Linked DNA regions of Xenopus tropicalis. The protein of the gene in region 1 purifies or fractionates together with the protein of each later gene. This does not show direct contact. Links are inferred from orthologs where the notes say so. Each region holds a gene or a part of one and is shown on either strand. Other genes may lie near its edges. The genes, in order: abl2 and rin1.

Region 1 (12,778 bases):
GTTCCGCCACCATTGGCCATGATGTCTGTTACATTCAGTGTATGTGTATGTGAGTCATTGTATGCATCTAATAACGTAGTTAAGTATCATGACTTTTTACATCAGAAGGGTGCCACACCCCAGGGAGTGCCAGGCCAGTATGGGGTAAAGCCCAGAAGTTTCAGTATCCCTAATTGCAATTGCAAGAGGACATCTGCATTTAGGAATGAAAGTGGTTGGTAAATGGTTATTTTAGGCTTTCATATACATTAGCTTTTAATGCTGACATTACAGCAACATTTCTGGGCTTTGCTCTCCCAATGGCTACATTATTAGATGTACATGATGACTTCTAAATACATTGAGGTTATCTGTGGCACCAAAACATTACTTGATTTCATTTAGAACACTAACACAAGACTCCAGCACTAGTCTTGCAGGAGAAAGGTAAAATGGCAAATGAAACTTCTATTAATAAACCTTTGTATGAAAACAAACAGCTTGTGGAATTACTCCACCTGCTTTGATGCAAGAAGGAATACTTGAGTTGGACCTGCTCAAAGATTCAGATGTATTATTTAAAGTATCCATGTCTATGCACTGATTTTTTGTGTGTATGTGTTGCAGTGGTGCCTTAGTTTTGTATTCAGCGATGTGGCCTACCTGTTGGAGTCATTCTGATATTGTTTCCACATTAATTTATTGTAAGGGCTATTTTAGTTAAGGCTGTCTACTGCATTGAAAGGACTTTGCATGGGACACAATTCATGCAGGATAAAGCAGTGGGGTGAATGATTACCACTGTGTGTTCCACTATTTCTCACTTTTGCTGCTGCAGGCTGATATACCCTTATAATCACTGGCTTTGTTTTAGATTCTAGTGATCTATATTTTTTTCTCATTTTTGTGAGACAGGTGACAGTATCACTTTAATTTTTGAGCTCTGTAGAACACCCACTTGCCAGTAATCCAGAAGCCTTACACACACACCCTGAAGCTAGACAACAGCTGGTTTGGCATCACAGAGCTTCAAAACTGCATGTGTATCATTTTATACAACTTGTCCAACACAAGCCACCCAGCTGTCGCTGGAACACACCCACACAACAGGCCTGTTAACAGCTGGCTCAGACACTGCCAGTAAAGGCCTTACAATGAACAACTTACAACAAATTATTGAAACAAAATATTTAATGAGCAAACCCATTTGTAATATCAATGAATCTGCAATAAATAAACCACAGCCAGAACTGATTGTATAACAAAGTTGTTATGGGTAGTGCTAATCTTTTGTCCTGTAAAATTTGACTTATTTGGAGTAATTGGTTGACAACAGTTTTTGACGTTATTAATTTTAGCTTATGATTTGTATTCAATGTAACCATGTAATTTTTTGCCACCAGTTGCAGTTTCCTGGTTTGTTTCAAATTGTTTTGCAAGGAATTGGTAAAATCCTCCAGACATTCGCTCTGCCCATGTGGGGAATGGACAATGGATCTTGACTGTTAAAGTCCTGGTGTTTGCTCTTAAGGAGCACTCCCAAATTCTGCCATATGTATATGTTGTTCTTTAAGATATGCTGCACATGCATTCTTCTTTCTTTGCTTTATGTGAGCTTTTTGGAAGCTATGAAAAGGGAAATTAGCTTCAGAGCAGTATTTTTCCCTTTTTATCTGGATCAAAGACATGAACTTTAAAGGGATTCTTTAAGCCTTGTCTCTATAACAATTAATCTCTAATGTTACACTGCTTTGTATTTATTCCTGTAATGGCCTGTTTGTTCCATTAATTTATTGTTCTGATGTACAGCCCTGCTTACATGATTAGTGCTATATTACTTTAAATATACATACAAGACTGAATTTACATTTAGTGCTGGGCAGTTTCCTAAAGTAATAACATGTAAGTGGGTCTATATGTTTAGCCAGAATCTCGACCAAAAGGTATGATGGAACTTTGTAAAAGGAAAGATGAGGGTAATGGCCTATGTAAGCATAATTGTTACTGTAACGACCTTTGATTTGCAAGTAAATAAACTTTCCCAACTTGTGCTGTTTAACAGCAACTTTCCATTGTTTTCTGGCACAAACTTAAGTTTTCATTATAGTGCCCCTAGAACAAAAGTCTATAGTAGCAGTGTGGAAATTCATTATGAAATGTACTAGACAGCTGCTTGCAGGGACAGTTTGTTGACACTACATTAACAGGCAATGAAAACAAGCATTTATATTGCAGGTATATTAATATGAACTGCATTTATATGTTGGTTGTATGTTACACAGAAAGAAATTGGGTGCTGCTTAGGGTTCTCTGGGGGTAGAGGGCAAAAAAGTCTACCGTGACGGTATAACTACTTTATTAGTTACTGTTGCTTGCAGTTGTGTAGAGAAACAATCCACATTGTTCTTGAGGGAATGTAGCTCTGACTGTCTGGTCTATAGCCCTAATAAAGATGTGTTGCTGTTTGCATGTCTCTTTCTATGGGGAGAACATTGAATGATTATACTTGAAAAGTCACCCATACTAATCATCTAATTTGACTTGGCTTTACTACAAGGCTTCTTTCCAATATGTGGTGCTGTCAAGACATTAGTGTGGTACAAAGTAGGTAAACAGAATTCCACCCTGGAGCAGATCTTTCCTCTCCTCCCATACAGCCCAGCCCAGCATCTTGAAACAGCAGCTGGTGCTACTCACAAGCCATTGCTTGTAATTGGACTCTAAAGCTTAACATTGGTCTCCTCCCTTCCCCACCCAGCCCTTCAAATTATTTTGCTATGCCAGCCTCCTCGCTTTTCTGAGAGTCGTCATACAGATCTGGGTTTATGCCACATTGTTAGCTGCATTTTGTATTAAGTCGGTGATGATCCTTGGGCCTGTCCTGGCCTCTTGCAAAAGATTAAATGGCAAGAGACACATGAAAGGCATATCTTTTTGGGACCAGTCCTTCCTGCAACATGTTGTCTTCTGCTCAGGTACTGTGCATGATCTTTCAGGTGGAATAGATGGGCTGTATATGACGAGAAGTTTGAGTGTTTTTTATTTATTTTTGCTGTTGTTCGTGCCTAATGTGTATGTAGCGCATATATATATCTCTCAGCAAACAGTTTTGTATGGCTACATTTCTTTTCGTTATTGCAGACTGTAGAGTGGTTTTATATTCAATTTTGAAAATAGTAATTAAAGCTAAAGGAGCACATGCATTTACCTGCCTTATAAAGGGTGCATTCTAAGGACCTGTCAGTAAGTAAGAAGTAGATCTGAATGAATAAGACTGCTAACAATGAAAAGTGGATAGTGTAGCTAAGGAGAGTGTCTCTTGACTGGGAATTACAGATACATACATGTATTTTTGAATCAGACCTTCTGAATTACGACCTGCAGCTGTTTTAAAAACAGAAGTCAATTTATCAAAATTAGAAATTGTGAATTTTTCAAGTTCTTTCAAACTCTAAAACTTGCTAAACTTGATAATACAAAGAACTTGATCAAATTAAACAGTGAAAAAAAACTTGAACGCAGCAAATTTGCATTCAACTCATTATTTTCATTTGCTCCACAAACTCCCCAAAAAATCTGAAAACTTGAAACTGAAAATATCGCTTACATTTTGCTAGGTCAATTCCCATTGTCTTCTACATAAACTTGCTAGCTTTTGGATGCCAAAGTTACACGCTTGACTTTCTTTTGCACTTAATATTAATGATTTACTTTTAGAAATCCTAATTAAAATGTGTGCATTTTAGCATTAAATAATTTGATAGACACCAAAAATTCACATTGATAGATCAGCCTTTATGTCTTTAAATCTTTAAGTATGATTTACTTCCCTCATTTAGTTTTATCACTTTTCTTTGTAGTCCCGTGTATTTCAGTGGTTGCTTTGAATTCAAAACACGTTTAAAAATTGTGTGTTTATTTAAATTTACATATATATTTTGAGAGGGGGACGGGGGATCTGTCTGGCTCACACCACAGCCTGTTATTAGCAGTTAACATGATGTCATGTAGCAGAAATAAGTGCTCGCTAATGGTCAGTAAAAGGAGTCTAGAAACCTGGGATCATGTTTGTCTGCATTTCATTATCGCCTATTTATATCACTTGTTTCTGCCACCAGATTCCTCCACTGTCTGTCCACTCTCTGCCAGAACTGCATCCTCTTTTTAGCATCTTGTCTGCTAAATGGTGTTGATTGTTCCACATTGACACTGCACTTGCATGAGAATTTGGTTGTTTTTTAGTCATTTTGTCTAGTAATTAAATTCTGTGCCACTGTATGCTAGATTTGAGTAAATGCAATTCAAATCTTTTATATATGTGTATATAGTGCTGCTTGTATGTGCAATGCATATAAAGTGCATTAATAATATTGAAATAGCAGCTGACACAGAAAATGCTTTTATAAATGAGCAGAATAATTACATTTGCAGCCAAAAAGTTTTAGTCTAATGATTTATGGAAAAGTTGCAAACATTTGTAAAACAAAACAATATTAAATGTAATAACATTTTGATTTTGGGGAAATGCCAAATTTATTTTTAAGAATCCCAATTTGACCTTATATAAATCTTAGCGCCCCATTATAAGAGGCACAGTTGAAAGGAGGTTCTTGCCCTGCAGAGGGCACCTACTCTGGCTCCTGTTAAACTTTCCAAGTATGAAGGTGCATTAATTCTAAGAAGTGGGAAGGGAAGAGACAGGTCAATATGGAACTGTGTTAGGGTATTGCAGAGAGAAGTGGTGTATGCTTTGTAATATATTCATGCCCTTGTGCATTTGTCTTTGCTCTCATTTAAATAAAGGGGTTTATATTTAGGAGGGTGCCGATCCCTCTGGCAGTGTGCACCGGGCGTTCTGGTTTGGAGAGCTAGGGTGTGCGGAATAAGCCTCTGTTGTACTTACAGGTCCTTTTCAAAAAATTAGCATATTGTGATAAAGTTCATTATTTTCTTTAATGTACTGATAAACATTAGACTTTCATATATTTTAGATTCATTACACACAACTGAAGTAGTTCAAGCCTTTTCTTGTTTTAATATTGATGATTGTGGCATACAGCTCATGAAAACCCAAAATTCCTATCTCAAAAAATTAGCATATCATGAAAAGGTTCTCTAAACGAGCTATTAACCTAATCATCTGAATCAACAAATTAACTCTAAAAACCTGCAAAAGATTCCTGAGGCTTTTAAAAACTCCCAGCCTGGTTCATTACTCAAAACCGCAATCATGGGTAAGACTGCCGACCTGACTGCTGTCCAGAAGGCCATCATTGACACCCTCAAGCAAGAGGGTAAGACACAGAAAGAAATTTCTGAACAAATAGGCTGTTCCCAGAGTGCTGTATCAAGGCACCTCAGTGGGAAGTCTGTGGGAAGGAAAAAGTGTGGCAGAAAACGCTGCACAACGAGAAGAGGTGACTGGGCCCTGAGGAAGATTGTGGAGAAGGACCGATTCCTGACCTTGGGGGACCTGCGGAAGCAGTGGACTGAGTCTGGAGTAGAAACATCCAGAGCCACCGTGTACAGGCGTGTGCAGGAAATGGGCTACAGGTGCCGCATTCCCCAGGTCAAGCCACTTTTGAACCAGAAACAGCGGCAGAAGCACCTGACCTGGGCTACAGAGAAGCAGCACTGGACTGTTGCTCAGTGGTCCAAAGTATGTCATTCGGAAATCAAGGTGCCAGAGTCTGGAGGAAGACTGGGGAGAGGGAAATGCCAAAATGCCTGAAGTCCAGTGTCAAGTACCCACAGTCAGTGATGGTCTGGGGTGCCATGTCAGCTGCTGGTGTTGGTCCACTGTGTTTTATCAAGGGCAGGGTCAATGCAGCTAGCTATCAGGAGATTTTGGAGCACTTCATGCTTCCATCTGCTGAAAAGCTTTATGGAGATGAAGATTTCATTTTTCAGCACGACCTGGCACCTGCTCACAGTGCCAAAACCACTGGTAAATGGTTTACTGACCATGGTATTACTGTGCTCAATTGGCCTGCCAACTCTCCTGACCTGAACCCCATAGAGAATCTGTGGGATATTGTGAAGAGAAAGTTGAGAGACACAAGACCCAACACTCTGGATGAGCTTAAGGCCGCTATTGAAGCATCCTGGGCCTCCATAACACCTGAGCAGTGCCACAGGCTGATTGCCTCCATGCCACGCCACATTGAAGCAGTCATTTCTGCAAAAGGATTCCCGACCAAGTATTGGAGTGCATAACTGAACATAATTATTTGAAGGTTGACTTTTTTTGTATTAAAAACACTTTTTTTTTATTGGGAGGATGAAATATGCTAATTTTTTGAGATAGGAATTTTGGGTTTTCATGAGCTGTATGCCACAATCATCAATATTAAAACAAGAAAAGGCTTGAACTACTTCAGTTGTGTGTAATGAATCTAAAATATATGAAAGTCTAATGTTTATCAGTACATTACAGAAAATAATGAACTTTATCACAATATGCTAATTTTTTGAAAAGGACCTGTATATTTAGGAGGAGCCCAGGGTTTACTGTTGTGTTTCAGGGACACTATATTGTGTATGCATATGTTTTTTTATAATGTGTAGATAATCCACTAAAGGGGACATATTGTGTGAAAAACAATACTGTGTAAGTTGTACTCATCTAAATATAGAAGGAATGTGTTTTTAAAAGTAGTTTTTTGGTCTGACCCCTGAAACACAGACAGCAAGCTCCAGTAAAGGGGCTATTTTTACAGGTAGTATTAATTTTTAGACCAAAGTGAAATCAGCTCCATATATACCTGTATATGTTTCAGCCGTAGCTTTACTTTTTGCATCTTATTTCCTTATTAACTCTGTGTTCTTTTCCAGAAGCACTACATCGTCCTTATGGCAGTGACTCTGAACCACAGGCTCTTACTGATGCTATCCGCTGGAGTTCCAAGGAGAATCTTTTGGGAGCCACAGAAAGTGATCCCAATCTCTTTCTTGCCCTTTATGATTTTGTTGCCAGTGGCGACAACACACTAAGCATCACCAAAGGTATGTGAAATGAACATGCACATTAGCTACTTTTATTTGCTGCAGTGTCATGATAATTTTATAAGTACCAAATATTTCCTGGGGGTAAATCTACTGTTTCTGACCATGTAACTGTACTGTATGTCTATATATTTTAACAGAAGGGGAATTAAACAAAAATCCAGAAATCCTTTTTATTATTGATATAATATGATAAAAGCAACTTCTGCATTCAGTCCTTTTGAGTGACTTTTTGGAAGGTGATATTAGCCCGTTAATTAATAATTATTTTCTATTTTAGGGGAAAAGCTCCGTGTCCTGTGCTACAACCAGAATGGGGAATGGTGTGAAGTACTGTCTAAGAATGGGCAGGGTTGGGTGCCAAGCAATTACATAACTCCTGTCAACAGCCTGGAAAAACACTCATGGTATCATGGACCCGTGTCTCGGAGTGCTGCAGAGTACCTGCTCAGCAGCCTTATTAATGGTAGTTTTCTGGTGCGTGAAAGTGAGAGTAGTCCTGGTCAGCTCTCCATATCGCTACGCTATGAGGGCCGTGTTTATCACTACCGCATTAACACAGCTTCCGATGGGAAGGTGAGGAGGCCTATTTCTGCAACTTTACACGCAAAGTTCATTTATGAGCAACTTTCGATTATGACTGTATGTTGCCATTTAAATGATAATGGGCTTGAAACTGCCTTATTCATGGAATTTTAAAAATAGAATATTTCATAACCTTGGGCCATAAGAAGCCTTATTTTTGTCCTTTCTCGCTTCATAGGGCTGCTATACTTGTCTTTTATAGCTTCCCTATGAGAATAAAGGATGTCACCATGCAAAGTCCCTTTTATTATGCCTCCTTTCCCCATTGGTGTAGAGCTCTAATTTAAACACAGAGAAGTCTGAGAAGGAAAATGTGTTCATGTGTGAGTAAAAAGCACACACATTTAATCCCCTAACAGAAAAATAAAATGTGTCAAACACTTTGTGTACACTATATGTCCTGAAGGCTTATGTATGTGTATCCTTTATTTAGCATATTATCCCAGATCACCCTAGCACTTCTGCTCTATTACTTGATATATAATAGTGTTTATGCTGTTTCTGTAAGTACTAGTTGAATCAGCAAGAAATAGAGGTTATATGCACCAACGAGTGAATTTTGTGGTGCATATCTTCTTCAACAGCTGCTTCTTTGTTACTTCCTTATCAAATAAACAATGCCATTGCCTGACAAATACCTTTATTTCTCCAGGTGTATGTCACAGCAGAGAGTCGATTCAACACTTTAGCTGAACTAGTTCACCATCATTCTACTGTGGCTGATGGCCTTGTTACTATTCTTCACTACCCGGCACCGAAATGTAACAAGCCCACAGTTTATGGAGTGTCCCCTATCCATGATAAATGGGAAATGGAACGTACTGATATCACTATGAAGCACAAGTTAGGTGGAGGCCAGTATGGCGAAGTGTATGTTGGTGTCTGGAAAAAATACAACCTTACAGTAGCTGTCAAAACACTTAAGGTAATATAAAGATCTGTTATATAATGCAGAAACCTCCATTGTTAATGGAATACTGTCACAAGAAAACATTTAAAAACAGAATTATGCACTGAAATCCATTTTTTTAAAGCTGAAACAGATTTGTTATATTTAATTTTGGAATTTGATTTGGGGATAGCTGTTACCTTACCTGCCTAGGTGCCCCCAGCCACATCACTTGTACTCTGATACACTTTTGTCACTCTTTACTGCTGTGCTGCAAATTATGATTGATGTCACCCCCTCCTCCCCCCCCCCCCAGCAGCCAACAACTGAATAATGGACAGGTAACAAGATAACACCTCGCTGAAACCTTTGGTAAAGGATTCAGCAGTCTGAACTGATAGTGCCTACATGAGCTAATAGCACTCCTGGTACTGTTTTGAATTATGAGTGGGTAAGCAGGCAAAACTGCCTATAATGACCCCAATAATGTGTGGGTTCTCTGCCAGGTAAAATACACTGTGAAAATACAGCTCTATGTGCCCCATTACCTTTAATTAGTTTGTATAGTAAAGGAGATATAGATATATATACACAGTATGCACTTAATAATGGTACACTGTTTTTATGAACGATAACTACAGATCTTCATTATATTTTACAGTGAGGGATAGATGTAGAGGCACCCAAAATACATTAAGTGAGAAGCAGTGGGAACTTCAGCCCAAAATACATTAAATACAGTAAGAGGCAGTATAATGAACTAAATGGAATTAAAATACGAGAGGCAATACATTGACACCCGAGACCCCCTTCATATTTCCTGAAGGCTGGAGAAGATTAGCAATGTAGAGATCAAATGACTTAAGAAATTGTGCCTTGCTAAATGTGCTCATTATAGTGGCCCACCTAGTGGTAGACATGAGAATATCAACCCAGGTGGAGAAACCTGTTTTGCTGTTATGCGACTTGGGTTCTATTGACAGTACATTGAGTGGGAAAAAACTGCTTATCTGAAAGCAGTTCTATTGTGTAATGCTGACTTCTTCCGAAAGCTCAGAATCAGGCGCAATGCACTGAGATGGCTGCCTACACACCAATATTACAGCTAAAAAATACATTTGTTGGTTCTAGAAATTTTAAATGGTAGAATAAATTATTTGCAGTGTACACAGTGTAATTTAGAAAAAAGCACACCATAGAAATCATGCCAGAATCGCTTTATGAAAAAGTTGAATGCAACAAGTATTTCAACCATTAAGTCACAAGGCAGCATTCTTTTCACATAGTTCCAGCATCATTGCATCTGCTATGCAGAGCTGCATTCAGTGTTTTATACTAGACAAACACATTATGATGTGAAAGACTTTAGTGTGCAGATTTTAAGATGGCCTCTCATTTTTTCCATCCTTTTTGCTTTCGTGTAACTGCGACAGTGCCATTATTTTTTGCTTTGCAGCTCTGCTTACTTTACAAGTAGGTTTCTTCCCAGGCTCCAAGTAAGCCATTTGTGCTGGGGCCAAACAAACAAAAATGTTACATGTTTGCTTGGCTTATATATGTGATAATTTGTTTTAATATCTCTTTTTCTGCTCTATCCAGGAAGACACTATGGAAGTGGAGGAGTTTCTGAAGGAAGCAGCAGTAATGAAGGAAATTAAACACCCCAACCTAGTGCAACTTCTGGGTATGTAACCTAAAGAAAGTATTCAAAGCATTACCCATAAGAATGAGTGAATGTGTGTGTAATATGTACAGGATCTACATTAGTCTTTTGGCTCTCGGTTTCTTCCATTAGTCAGTCTGTCTTTGTTCCCTTTGGCTGTGTTTTTTTGATGCATGTACAAGTGTCTTCATTCTGTGATGCAGTGCACTGTCCAGGTAGAATGTAATACACTATTAAATGAAGGAATGAATATTTTTAGATACTACGTAAAAGTAAGAATGACCTTTGGGATACCTGCTTATTAAAACCTGTAATAGCCTATTCTTCCTACAATATATTTATCTGTCATCTTAACTATGTTCTTAGGTGTTTGCACACTGGAGCCCCCATTTTACATAGTAACTGAATACATGCACTATGGGAACCTTCTAGACTATTTACGTGAATGTAATAGGGAAGAGGTGACTGCTGTTGTGCTACTTTACATGGCCACTCAGATCTCCTCTGCAATGGAATATCTGGAAAGAAAGAATTTTATCCATCGGTGAGTTGCATATATAGGTACCTTGAGTAATTTTATAGTCCAGCAAATCCATCAGTAACACATTGTGAGGTCTGGGAACTTAAATTATAGCTTTGTGTCTTTCAGTTGGCAACTTTGTATACATAGTAGTGGGTTGCAAGATGTATCTATACGCAGACACTGAGTTTCACTTTGAAAATCCTAATACAAAACAATAAAATGTTTAGATAACTTACTAAAAGTGTTTATTAGAATACAAAAGTATAATATACAGTGGCAACTTTTCTCTCCCATTGTACACTTTTCATGCATCATTGACTATGAGCTGTGAGATCACAAAGAAATGCTAAAGCCCCAAAAATCTGAAAAATTTAGCTGTTTTTTTTTTTTACAAGTTCTGTTGGAAAGTAGGTCATTGCCAGTCTTACGGATCACTTTCTGACATTACTCTGCAGATGCTCTGAGTTAGTGTAGTAATTGTTTTTTGGGATTTAGTTATATGAAGCATTTTTTTAATTAATCCAAATTGCAAAAAATACTTGTTGAGGCACGTACTACGGTAGAACCCCCATTTTACATTTTTCGGCGGACCAGAATAAAATGGTTTATAATCTGGGAAAATTCAAAATCTGGGAAATGGACAAAAACAGTGTAAAACTTAACATAAGGCTATGTTAAATTGAGGTTTCACTGTACTGTAGTAAAAACAATTTGGCTGAAAGGTAAGCACCTGTACTACTCTAGCTTCCACTCATTACTAATGCATACACAGTGTGTATCTCTAAGGCCTCAAGGCTATGGTAGATAAAAAGTGATGAACAGACTGCAAGCCAGCACCAAACCGGATTCCACAATTTCTCCGTGTTCACCTTACTAGACCAAGAATTCTTCAATGATGAAGTTAATCTTCTTAAAACCGCCTTTATTCACTTAATTGGCAAAGACCAGGATAGCAACGTTCGAGGTCTACATTGACCCGTTATCAAGCTTTGGCTTGAAGCCTTAGCTTGATAAAGGGTCAATGAAGACCTGAACCTTACTATCCTGGTCTGTGCCAATTTTGTGAATAAAGGCGGTTTTAAGAAGATTAAATTCAAATTTATTTGTCTCATACACAGTATGATATAAAGTGAAATGCTTATACGATACGATTCATTTGGAGTGCTGTTCATAATTGGAGATTAGAAGTGATTGTCAATTCTGTATCCTGTTGTATTCATCTACACATGTTTAACCCCTTTAAAGTTAATAATCCCTTGAACTCATTAATGAGGATGTAAGGTTGTGTCCTTTTTTAATGTCTATACTAAATACCCTTGATTTTTCTGTAGGGATTTGGCTGCACGAAATTGTCTTGTGGGGGAAAATCATGTGGTGAAAGTAGCGGACTTTGGACTGAGCCGCCTTATGACTGGTGATACGTATACAGCACATGCTGGTGCTAAATTCCCAATTAAATGGACTGCTCCAGAAAGTTTGGCATATAATACATTCTCCATAAAATCAGATGTTTGGGGTAAGAGAGAGTTTGTTATGTACTTTATTTACTTTGTCTACTTTCTGATACTGCAATGTACTTTTATACCATTTAAAGAGGTGCAGGGGGGTTTGGTTTAAAATCCACTCTAATTCTAAATAACAGAGAAACGTCCTTAATGACATTCCTAGAACTTTCACTAAGGTGTATTTAAAATAATGTGACATATTCAGTATCAACCACATCACAACGTCAAATCGTTTTGGATGCGAGTGATTTGGTATAGAATATAAACAATTCCCTAATTCAGATTAGAGGTACATTAAATCTGATCGAGTCACAGTTAGTTCCCACATACCAATATCCTTTTGTTTTTAGAGTGTTTTCTCTATCAGTGTTTGCTCTATCTCTGCATGCCTTAAAAATATTATCAAGCTCATAGTGGAAGACTGAAGTACCTTTTAAAGCATTAACATAACCTCTCAGTCCTTTCTACTGACATCAGGTATTTGTGACATGAAATCAACCTTAAATCTCTCTCCAACATTACTGGAATTCTTTAAATTGCTAATAATCTGTATATTTGTAAATTAAATTTGTTGTTGAAAATATGCCAAGCTTTATTCTAAAATCTGCTGAAACCTGTCCTTAAGAAGC
Region 2 (12,778 bases), about 62 Mb from region 1:
AAACATGAAAAATATTCCTGTGGGTGCCAAATAAGGACTGTGATTTGCTATTTGGTAGCCCCTATGTGGACTTGCAACCTACAGGAGGCTCTGTTTGGCAGTACAACTGGTTCAAGCACCTGTTTGACACCACTGGGAGCAACATCCAATGGGGAGCAAGCGTGCCCCCCCCAGTCAGGGTCGGACTGGGGGGTGCAGGGCCCACCGGGGCTCCCGCAGGTGCCCCAGCCGCGTCCCCTAACCCCCCAAGGGGCCCCCCTAACCCCCCCACAGGGCCCCCACCTGACGTCCTCCCCGAGCGCATATAAATTGAACGCGTCAGTAGGGGGAGCGCCGGCAAAGGTCGGACTGGGCCTCCGGGGCCCACTAGGGCTGGGGCCCACCGGGATTTTTCCCGGTGTCCCGGCGGCCCAGTCCGACCCTGCCCCCAGTCACTGACTAACTAAGTTCTGGTCATATAAGACATCTGGTCACTTCATCCTTAATAGATTACATTTTTGCCTAACTAACTATATTAGAAATATTTTTTATTTTGCAATGTCTATCCATTTTACCCAGTTTCATTTTTACACTGAACTGTTGATTTAAGTGTTCCACATGCCTACCTGCAGGGCTTTTGTGTATATATGCCTGATGAATGAAGCTTGGACCAGAATCATCTGACAGTCTCACACATAAAACCATCTTCTGGCGAGTATTGGACTTTCTCACTAGGAATGTCTGTAAGATAAAGACATGTTTGATCATGAAGAAGATATCAAATTTTCAGTCAGGTTCTGTATATTATTCTCGGTACAAATATGTCTGAAGTACCTCTTTCTGTACGATTAACGAAATTATTATTGGTAGGGCCTGGATGCAGGACATGCGCAAGGTTCCAATAGGGCCTGAGGGGGTTTGGGCAGGGGTGCAATCCCTGGTAACTCAACCACTATTTTGTACTTAAATAGATTTCAACTTTGATTTTTACATGCCTGTTTATAGGACTGCTCATTGAGTGCTTGCTCTCACCCATACGGTTGTTTCTGCGCCCCTAGGTAGGGCTTAGGCGGTGCACCTGAGCCTCCCCTCGACTGTGGTGAGTTCGGGACTACTTTATTTATTCCTGGTATCTCAAATACCTTAAAGCAGCCCCTTTAACATCTATTTCTGTAAATTACCTACCCCTGGAGGCTCCCTTTGCAATATATGCAGTGCAGTTGCCGAGTTGACTGTGCGGTGGAGCCAAACACTTTGGGTGAGTAGCAGTCTGTCTGTGATGCTGACTGATGTTGGCGACCCCTTGCGGATTGGAGTTGGAGAGGATTCCTGATATGGGAAATCATATACCGGTTCAGTCATCCTGCAGGAACAGAAAGATCACAGTTTATAGATGTACTGTATATTGGGCCCTAGCAACCAGATAGCTGCTGAAATTCTAAACTTGAGAGCTACTAATTAAAAAAAGCGAAATAATCCAAAAACAAACTTGCAGCAATAAATAAATACATTAATAAACAATAAAAAATAAGACCAAGTGCAAATATCATTGTGTGTGAAAAGTGAATATAAAGGTGAACAACATCCAGTACCATTAAGTGCAATGCGTTTTAGCTTTTTTTGGTTATATGCTGCAGGCCTCCCTTGGGCAGCTTTTTCCTGGTACACATTCAACTTCCTTTTAAAATCCATTAGTCCAGGCCCTTCTTTATGCTTGTGATACAAATTGAGGATCTATGCCCAGAATGCTTGGAACTTAGGGTTTCCAGATGAGGGGTCTTTCTGTAACTTAGAGCACCTTTCCTAAAAGCTACAAAACATTAAAACATTAAAAGAAAGCAACAGCTTTGTTTTGCCAGCAACATAAACTTAAAGGCTGCTTAAATATAAAGTAAATGGCGTTGCTTTATTATTATTAGAGAATAAAGAAAACTGTTAAAAAAAATCAGAATTGTTTAAAGGACAACAAAACTCCTATAAATTAGGGTTTTGTTTTCCTTGAATTTCCAAGGGAGTTTTTCTGCTGCACTGGGCTGGAGCATGTGCAATATATTAAAGTTGTAAAAATGACTATACTTCAATACGCTAGAACTAGAGGTCAGTAGAAGAAGCACGTGTCTAGGGTGGAGGGGCATTAGGCACATAACTCTTTTTTCTGTGTACCCCTGGTCTAGGCCCAAGGTCATTCTCTCCCCTGCGCACTCCCTTTGGCTCACACATTATCACTACACTCATTTGCGCATATGTGCGGGGGAAGGGGGCATGATGGCCGCAGGGTTGCCTAGGGTGCCTACCCTGGCAGTGACTTCACATGTGCTTTCCTAGGTCTAGGGCAGTGCACTACTCTGAGCTAGTGTGTACAGGAGAGTAGAATTGGCATAGGGTTACCATGTGGCTTCCCAAGACAATAGTCCCCCCTTGCATCCCCCACTTCCCCCCATGTCACTATGTGAAAAATGTAGGGTTAATTTCTATAATGGGTTTGGGATCCCATCCTGTCCTACCCATCTCAAACTGAATGAAGATTCAGTGTTTGTACAGTTGTTTGTAGTTCTAAGGGTTGGATTTCCAACACAGATGCTCCAAGTCCACAATTTCAGGATTTGTCCAAATACCAAATCCACTGCAAAAGATTTGGCTGAATCCTGAATCAAATCTGGATTCTGGATCACTCTGGATTCTACCAAATCTGAACCCTGCAAAAAAGGCTCAGATTTGCCCCAGAGAGACGGTTGCAGGGTTTGGTGCATCTCTAGTTTCCATCCGTTACTTCAGGCTGCAGAAATGCTAGAATCACTCCAGCAGAAATGCATTCAGCTAATGTTCACTGTCACTTCAAAAGCCTGAAAGTTTGGTTGTTGTATTCCACAACAAATGAGATTTTTCAAAAGTTCCACAAATATATACAGCCCCTGGGTGGGTATTAGCTGACAGGTTAAAGAAAGTCAAGTGAAGCTAATTTTAACTGACTGGTAGAAAGTATTTTTGAAGCAGAACAACAAATTTGCTGCTGAGAAGGGCCGGAACTAGGGGTAGGCAGAAGAGGCACCTGCCTAGGGCGCAACAGCAGGGGGCGCCAGGCAGGTGCCTCTCCTTTCACTTACCCCTATTTCCGTGCCTTTCCCCCCACTGCATCACCCCCCACCAGCAGCCTCAACAACCCCTGTGTGCGTTCACTCACTTGCACATATGTGCGCGCCCACGGAGGGGCCTTTAACTAATAATCAGTTTTAAAGCAAAAATTTGATTAGCTGCCACAGGTAACTGCCCAGGAGCAAATTTGCCCAGTGTTAATAAATGAACCCCCAAAACACCACTCTCTCAGTAGCAAGACCTTTCTTCTGCATTCTGATAAAGGCAGTATACATAGATATTAAAAAACAGCTTGCAGCTTGTGCAGACCCAGAGGAGATGCCAAATCTAGGTTACTGCGGTTACAATACAAAAGCTAAATACAATTGGCAATAAAAAGATATGTCTGTCAAATTCACCCTTTTGCGCAAATAAAACCTATCCTTACTTGAAACTATGCAATGTTAGTACAATTGCTTCAGGGAGAGAATTTACATGTTCCCTGTGACATCTAAGAACAAGTTAAGACTCAGATGTGCCAACCTGGCAGCAAAGTGCTCTACATTATATCACCGCAGCCAGCATTTGATGGAAACATTTGATGGACAGCATTTGCTTTCACCAAGGAGTTCCGTGCCCATATAAATGTGACAGGAATGAACCTAGAAGTGAAGTCTAGTACAGGTATGGGGCCTATTATCCAGAATGCTCAGGACCTGTCGTTTTCTGGATAAGGGATCCTTCTGTAATTTCGATCACCATAGCTTAGGTCAACTAAAAAAGAATTTAAACATTAAATAAGCCAAACAGGATTGTTTTGCCTCCAATAAGGATTCATTATATCTTAGTTGGGATCAAGTACAAGGTACTGTTTTATTATTACAGAGAAAAAGGAAATTATTTTTAAAAATTTTAATTATTTTATTTCAATTGAGTCTATGGGAGATTCCATTTTCATCTGCATAGTGGGTTACCAGGTTACAGATCCCATACCCGTATCTTAACTTTTTCTTTTACTATGGCAATATTAAATATGAGAATAATGGTGTCGAAGCATATTTATAAAATAAAAAAAATGATAAAATAAAAAATGAAAACTTGCAAATTATCTTAGAATATCAATGTCTATGTCATAATAAAAGTTCATTTAAAGGTGAAGTACCCATTGCTTTCCCAGCATCCCTCTCAGTTATTTTGCTCTCTTTCAAGGTGCACCTCAAATTACCCGAATGTCAGGCAGGGCAGCTTTAAGGTATCAGTGGGCCCAGGGTAAAGATCCCATTGGTAGGCCCCAACTGCCCCAAACATTTGTGATGACCTACCCTCAAATAGGTGAACTTCAATATTTCCATACAAGAATGGGTCATTAGAGGACTATCTACCATAGGCCATCTCTACTCTGCAACCTCCCTACGGTGGTTTTAGGATTTGGTGCAAAAATATATCTTACCACAAACTCAAAAATGTATCCATATGCAGCATCTGCATTTACTAAAACATTCCTCCCTGATATCCATACTTTGATACAAGCCACTATAATGGAGTATCTGTACGTAAAAGCCTGGAATGGAAAAGCAATTCCACATCATATCTAATCAATGGCAAGACATTCTTTCAGCTCCAAAAGGAGCTACCTGTTGTACAAACCACATAGAGAAGCATATCAAATTGACCCACAGGTGGTTACTTACACCAAAATCTGTAGCTTAAATTACCCCTCCCTATTCAAGCCAATGCTGGAGACTGAGCAGTTAGCAAGGGTCACTGTTACCCATGTGGTGGCATTGCCCCTTGGTATATCTCTTCTGGAAGGAAGTCTTCAAACTGAATAACAACACATTGCACTGTGACCTACATCAACAACCTCAAATAGCACTACTGTAGTTATATCCAATGGGCCTTCCAAATACAACCAAAAAGCTTCTATTTTATGTATTTAACACAGCTGGCTTTTTAATAGAAAAAGTTTGGAATAAGAAGACAAAAAACCTGCCATCACCCAGTCCAGCAACTGGACTTTAGAACAACCATGGAAAAAAATGGTTACCACGACCCCCAAGCTAAATACACCAAAATATGGGATACTGGCACCACAGATACTTTTTTATCTTATCATCCTGCCTAGACACTCTATCAGCCTAGGTACTTTAACCACTTCTTTTCTCTTCTCTGTTGTAAACAGTTTGAATGCTTTAAACACTCAGCTTAAAAAAAATGTCTTAAATAAAGATAACAGCTTTTTATTAAAACGATCCCTAATGAACATAGGCTCCAATATAAAGGTAAAGTGAATAAAAAAACATAAAAATGGCCATGCTGTAGAGCTCCATTTCCACTTGATTAAAATGAGGGGCCTGACATCTCTGGGGGATGCTTCCATTAAAAATGATACCATATAAAAAGACCGTTTGTGGGCTCCCTGTCCTTGTGGGCCCTGGGCAAGTGCTCTGTTTGTCTATTTATTACATTGGCTCTGATCTCAGGAGGTGATGGGAAGAATAAGATCTCCGAGAACATCTGGGAGTCTGGCCATAAATGCAAGAAAGCTAACATCTTGGCAAGGTGAACTCAACCGAACAACAGAAAGTATAGATGTTGGGAGCTCTCATTTATTGTTAACACTTGTATAGTTCTACATTGAGTGCCATCCATCTGCCCACACACATACACATACTTACCAGGCAGTTCTGTAAAATCATGCTGAGTAAGTTTGCTTTAAATTCTCTACTGCACTACAAATGTACTAATAATAAGCATACTGTTCTATGCTGTAAAATAATGCTTGTTCCATATATTTTTAATAAGTTGCACTGAATATTCATTCTGGGAACTGATGCACAGCGTGAAGTACTATATATATATATATTATGGGATTTTAAAATTACAGGTATGGGACCTATTATCCAAAAATCCATTATCCAACAAGTTTTCTGAATTACAGAAAGGCCATCTCCCAATGACTGAATTTTAATCAAATAATTAAATAATTAAAATTTTTAAAAATTATTTATTTTTTCTCTCTATGATGAGACAGTAACTTGTACCCAACTAAGATATAATTACTGTTTAAATAATTTTTTAGTTGACTTAGGGGCACATTTACCAAATCACAAACGCTTGGAGCGTTCATTCGAATGCTTTGAGCGTATTTCGCCGATTTTTTCGTACGTCCATGCGATTTTTTCGTACGGCGCACGACTATCTGTACGCTGCACAAACGCTTGCACGAAAAAATCGGAAAGGTTTTACTGCTGTTTACAATTGTACGGTATGAAAATTTCGTGACTTTCGAATCGCCAATACGATATTATCGTGACTAATACGATTTTCTCGTAAGCATTTTCGTGATATTTGTGATCTTCAGAAATTTTCGTTTCCAATCTGAATTTTTCCCATTCGGGATTCGAACTCGTGATTTGATAAATCTGCCCCTTAATGTATGAAGATCCAAATTATGGAAAGACAACCTTATCTGGAAAACCTCAAGTTCTGAGCATTTTGGATAACAGGTCCCATACACTCATAGAATTTAAAAAAAAAAAAAAAAAAAAAATATATATATATATATATACTAAATATAGTATATACTGTATATATAAAATTTTCTTAAGAATTACATTGTCTTTCAACAGTACGCCATGTAATGCCATGTAATATACCATGCTATGTCTAATAATGAAGCACTGTATAACATGCTTACTGTATGTAATAGGAATCCATTATCCAGAATGCTCGGAAAAATTATTCACTAATAATAATATTCAAATAACCTCTTATCCGGAATACCCTTTGTCCCAAGCATTCTGGATAAGGGGTCCTATACGGGGTCCAAAGGGTATTCCAGATAAGAGGTCTTTCCGTAATTTGGATCTCCATACCTTAAGTCTACTAAAAGGATTGTTTTGCATTCAATAAGGATTATTTATATCTTAGTTAGGATCAATAACATGTTTTATTACTACAGAAAAAAGGAAATCAGTTTTAAATTTCTGAATTATTTGATTAAAATGGAGTCTATGGGAGATGGCCTTTCCGTTATTCGAAACTTTCTGGAAAATGGGTTTCCGGATAAGGGGTCCGATACCTGTATATCAGTATTATGCCATCCAGGTGACCATAATCTTTTTTAAAAGCTGTCCCCTTTACTTAATGGTTAAACTAATTAAAATCCAAAAGAGAAAACATAGCAGGATGATGGCTGCAACAACAAAGTTAGCTAAAAGTTATTGATATCCCACATTGCCCCTTTAAAATATTTATGTTTAGCTTGTATGCTGTTCCAAACATTTCCTTCTTGATAAATGCATTCAGTGCTTTTCAGATTTTAAAACTACTGTGGAGTTTTCTTTTTGCCTCTCTAAGCTTATTTTCTTAGCTACTAATACATTTAGTAAGACTATACAATGCCAACATTTGAGCAGAAGTGCTGAGTAGCATACCTTGTGCAAGAAGGTCCTACCCTGCAAAGGGAATATTTCTCTTGATTTGCCCCCTCAGTGCCGCTGCTCAGACTGTGTCCAAGTAAATTCCACTGTGTCTGCCTGATTTTACTCCAGCCAGTGTGATCTGAAATTAGGGACAGGATTACACGATCACATTGCAATTATATCCAGACAGATTATAAACAAAACTCAAATTAAAAGAGATTTGAAAGTGTACATTAAAATACGGGCTTAATGAGGAACACAGTGCAATGTGCAAAGTGCAACTCAGAATCAAATTGCCATGCTTTTTACCCACAATGCAGTGTTTTTCCCCAGAGTTTAAAGGAAAACTATATCTTCAGAATGAAATGATATCCAGGATAAAATGAAAAAACAGCAGCACTCCGGAAATGTTGTAGAAAAAAGTGACTTTACTCAAGTGCACAGTGCTGTGTGCACTTGAGTAAAGTCACTTTTTTCTACAACATTTCCGGAGTGCTGCTGTTTTTTCATTTTATCCTGGATATTGTTTTACCCTGGCTGAGGGTTCAGCTTGCACCTGGGGCTACAATTAGCTGGTTTGTCCATTGTGTAGCACACCTTAATCAATTTGTCAATTTATATCTTCAGAATGAGTACTTAACCAACAGATTATAGTTTATAACATATTAAGTGCTCTATTAAATAATCTTACTTATCTGGAATATATACAGTATATCAGTAAATATTGCCCTTTTACATCTTGAGCCACCATTTTGTGATGGTCTGAGGGCTCCCTAAGAGATCACCTGACAGGAAATAATGTAGCACAGTTTGCCTTTTTGTAATGGGATGGTATAACTTCCCCTGTGCCAACGTGTCAGAGTTAGTAATGACAGTTGTGTCAATGGTGCAAACCACATGGAAAAATTGGAATTAGCAAGGATAAGGCTGCCATAACCCTTAAGGGGTTATCATGGCAATGGAACTATTGCTTTCTATTGATGACTAACTACGTGCTCACCTGTTTGCTTTGCAGCTGTAAAAAAGAACAATATACAGTTTGCTATCATGTTTTTTTATATCAATGATGTGGGTTTCAGTCTGTTCCTGTAGGGGATCAGATAAGGGTCACTATACCTTCTTTTTGAACTTTTGCCTGTTTATTATTAAAGAGATACTGACCCAAAAACACTTTTTTCAAAATAATAATGTTAATTAAAGTTACCTATAGGTCATGTTGATCATTTTTTGCTAACAGGGCTGCTTTTGTATGTAATTGTTATTTGAAGTTCCTAAACTTGACTGTTTTGCCAACCTGACTGTCTCTTCTCATCCAGTCAGTTACAACTTCTAATGCTAACGGACCCCTGCTGCACAAATATGGCCTCCCTCTCATAGAAGAACGAGGGGCATCAGATAGGTAATGTAAAAACATCAGGCAAATACTTTTAAGGCAAAATTATAAATAGCATGCAAAGACAATATTATGATAGATGTATAAAAAAGGTTAATTTCTGGTGTCAGTATAACTTTAAGACCTAGCATAAGTATTTCCTTATTGCTTTGTTTTCTCCAGTATCTTAGTAGTACTTAATAATTTGCCCAATAGAGAGTGCTGTTTCTGAATGACCGATAGCAGAGTAATTTCTAAATGCAGTGCTCTAGCACAATTGTACCCAATTAATCAAAACTGCACATGTGCATGTTAGCAAATCAGATGCTAGCATTTTCAAAGCAGAGATTCTGGCACTTCTGGGACATGGGGTTAAAACAGAATTATTGTGTGATTTTTTGGAGCAATTCTTCTACCCCAACCAATGCACCCCACTAGATTTACCACTACAAATGTGCATAATTCAGTAAGAGAGGCAGGGTGGACACAAAAGAGCACATTCACTTACTTAGATGCAGTGTACAAAGTGCAATATCAAGTACAATTACCATGTTTTTCCCACAATGCTTTTTTTTGGCATAATTCTGGCATCATTGCAGGCACAAACTGGCTGTTCTTTTGACACAATTGGGCTGTGCCCACCACAGTTGCTATAGCGATTCAATAAGATGCATGCACTTCATTGCAAATCGGTTGTTGTTGTGGCAAATATTTTCTAAGTCTGCCCGGCATCATTTCCAGTGACCAGTACTTTAGGTGCAAGTGTGCTGCGCCTATTTATACAGGGCGCTGAGGGCAGGGACATTTTCGGCCCCTGAGGCGGCCCCTCCGATGCCGCCCCCCATCACTTAGCTTTACAGCACTGAAGGGGGTCCAGGGGGGGAGTGCAATTGCGCTCTCTACACTAGAAGAGCCGAATTTCCGTTTTAAAAAAATAGAAATTTGGCTCTTAAAGTTACTAGGAGCAACTTTTTGCTGCCCCTGGTAACTATGGGGGCACTTGCCATAGCTGCTGGTAGCAGCGCCCCTGACTGAGGGAACCCTGGAGCTACCCCCTGGTCAGGGTTCCCCTGTATCAACAAGTGCAGCACAGCCTGTTTCTGAATGGAAGGCAGGAAGGACTGAAGGAACTATAGAGAAGTTACTTGATGCAAATACCTTTAATAAAAGTGGTTTTAGGTTTAACTGATGGCAGAGAAAAGCACAAGTTGCCCACTGCACAAACAAAAATGAGCCCTAATGTCGCTTAATGCAACTATATGCGAGTGCAAGGAGCAAGCTTGAAAGCACCTTACCTGCATTTGTAATGACTCATATAGAGTCCTTAGTCCTCATTTCCTATACACAAGGCAAGATGCAAAATGTAAATGTGGAAGTTCCATGTTTTGGTTCTTTCCAATTTGGATTGTGCCCAAAGGTACAGCTCTTGAGATCCTGTGTTCACTTCTCCGAGTACAAAGCTGCCTAAATTTAGCAGCACTGAATTCATAAGGGGACAAGTGGTGGGCATCTCCTTTGATATTGCTTAGCTTGTGCATCTGAATGACAGGCTAACTAGGGAGAGCCATCAGGGACCAGGAGCGTTCTGCATCATGCCCAGGACTTTTAGTCTGGTACAAGGCGCAGATTGCAGATTGCACTGAAATTCCACACATTGTGCCCATGTGATTAGTAAATGAGCCCTGTTATGTAGAGAAACATCTCATTGTAAATAAATATTTATTTAAAAATGAAGTGAATATAAACTTATAAAACAGCTTAAAAATTGGGAACTCTGGTTCAGTTTCCCTCTTTATGATGTCAATACTGCAAGTTCTGTAGTGTAAATGAGATTTATACAGAGTGCAAGCTTTGCAGACAACATTGCTTTTAGTGTATATCTGTTTCTACTATTTATGTCAGAAGCCTGCAACTTACATCTGCCACTTCGTAAGTGAAACATGCCAGTGTATATTAACTATTTTTATGCTCCCTATCAGCAATTATTTTCACTCATCCTTGGTATATATATATATATATATAATATATAAACAGCCTCAGTACTATAAAAGTATTTCTTTAAGTGTCTTTTCCTGGGCATTTGCTGCTTATCACCTGGCATTCAAAGGAATGTACAATCTTAAGAATAACTAAAGAAGCTTTCTTTTATCCAAAAGAAGTCTAAGCTTTTATGTTGTACATACCTTGCCTTGCTCCGGCCTGGGACAGTGAGTCCAGATTCTCCTTCTTGCTCTTTTTCCCACCCCCATGGGTGTTCCCAGGGTGACTAACCCTTAGGGTGTTGCAAGGTATACACGCGGCTCCTTGCTCACTCATGATTTCCATGCACTCTCCTCCCTCCTTTTCTCCCTCTTACAGTTTTTCTTTCACTGTTCTTCTTCCCCACATGACTGCTTTGCAGAGACTTGTTAAATCAAAGCAGCTTTAGAGATTCATTTCATTAGCGGGGAAGAAAGAGAGTGAGGGAGAGAGAGAATGAGGGAGTGCATAAGAGAGAGACAAAGGAGAAATTTTAAAGAGAAAGAGTGCAAAAAGACTCTGAGCTACAAAAGGAAAGGAAATGAATTGGAGAAGAATGAGTTTAGTGGAAGGAGCTGCATTTTCATAGTATGAGTAAGAGTGAAATCCGGGAATGATTGTAAAGGACTGGAGTGAGAAGATAAAGGAGGGATTTCTACAGTAAATGGGTCAGAGGACAAAATGGATATTTAACATGTTATGATTAAAATGTTGTGCAATGCAAATATAGCTCCTAGTAAGTCGCAGAGAAAGGATATGAATCCCAGCATGGAAAGCATGTATTATTCCATGGTATCTCATACTGTGTTAAAACTTCCTGCCCCAGTGCACCCAAATAAATTATGGAATTAACGGCTGTACTTTTTTCACCACCCACAACCTGCTCTCGCCTCCTGGAGATATCACATTCCTTTCCTATAACTACTGATTAAACAAATCCTGTAGTGACGTAATGAAGGTGCGCCTGGCCTGCACGCCTGGGCACATCACATATAGCCAGCAGGATCATAAAGAGGATTCTTCTTAACTACTCCATAAAACAGGCAGCCAGCTGCACACAGAGATGACAGCACTGCTGCTGTGGGCAATACCTTATGTTCTTTATAGATAATACTGTCAGCTGTGCTCAAAGAATGTTTATACCCATAGTAGCAGAGTGTTCTACCATGTTAGCCATAAATCAAAACCAGAAAATATAGAGTAGGTCATACCTCGTATTGGCTAATTTAGTGGATTATGAAATGTGAGCTTTCTGGACAACTTAGGTCCCTGCTTCAGGTATGATAACCAATGTTATTATTACCTACCAAATTAACCAATAAAAGGTATCACCTACTATACTTTCTGATAATGTTCATGAACCATAGAGGAACATATCCTCATATATACATATCTGCACTCACAGGTCTTAAGAAGAACAAAATGGCACTTTATTTAAGGAGCTAGCTCACTAGCCAAAACATTAGTTTCCTTGAAATAAAGTGCCATTTTGTTCTTCATAAGACCTGAGTGCTGACCTGCTTTCTCCTTACAGCATTTCTTTTGCAGCTAGTGCCATGCTCCCTGCTGGCACTGTGGGCTTTTCAGGTAGATGGATGATAGATCTATGGCTTTTGAGTTTTTTGTAAACACAAATAAACTAATTTCCACTAAAACTACAAATGTCTAGTCATTTATTAAAAGATCCAAATTGAAAAAGCACAAACAAAAAACACAGAAAAATGCGAAAAACACATTTTTTGGTGTTTTTTAATAAATAGAGCGTTCAAAAAATCTAAAAACCTTGACTACCATGAAAAATTGGGGAAAAATTGGCCAGGATTCAATTGGGCAGGCTTGATTTTCCCATCAGATCGGGAACCGCATTGGCTCATTAATGCAGTCCTTGCACCAACGGCTCCTATACCCG

The links.
Region 2: the proteins of abl2 (region 1) and rin1 purify together in Homo sapiens (co-immunoprecipitation; 3 studies listed by BioGRID and IntAct, counting the BioPlex papers as one, with this or other methods). This does not show direct contact. The link is inferred for Xenopus tropicalis from reciprocal best matches to the Homo sapiens genes ABL2 and RIN1.

Annotation. Positions count from the first base shown.
Region 1 is NC_030680.2:99,866,869-99,879,646, reverse strand, and holds part of abl2 (tyrosine-protein kinase ABL2), read left to right. Parts: intron 1-6,813; coding exon 6,814-6,984; intron 6,985-7,264; coding exon 7,265-7,560; intron 7,561-8,221; coding exon 8,222-8,494; intron 8,495-10,057; coding exon 10,058-10,142; intron 10,143-10,487; coding exon 10,488-10,665; intron 10,666-11,975; coding exon 11,976-12,160; intron 12,161-12,778. UniProt on the Homo sapiens protein: Non-receptor tyrosine-protein kinase that plays an ABL1-overlapping role in key processes linked to cell growth and survival such as cytoskeleton remodeling in response to extracellular stimuli, cell motility and adhesion and receptor endocytosis.
Region 2 is NC_030680.2:38,263,371-38,276,148, reverse strand, and holds the start of rin1 (ras and Rab interactor 1), read right to left. Parts: upstream 11,553-12,778; 5' UTR 11,176-11,552; coding exon 11,034-11,175; intron 7,618-11,033; coding exon 7,491-7,617; intron 1,343-7,490; coding exon 1,165-1,342; intron 721-1,164; coding exon 606-720; intron 1-605. UniProt on the Homo sapiens protein: Ras effector protein, which may serve as an inhibitory modulator of neuronal plasticity in aversive memory formation. Can affect Ras signaling at different levels. First, by competing with RAF1 protein for binding to activated Ras.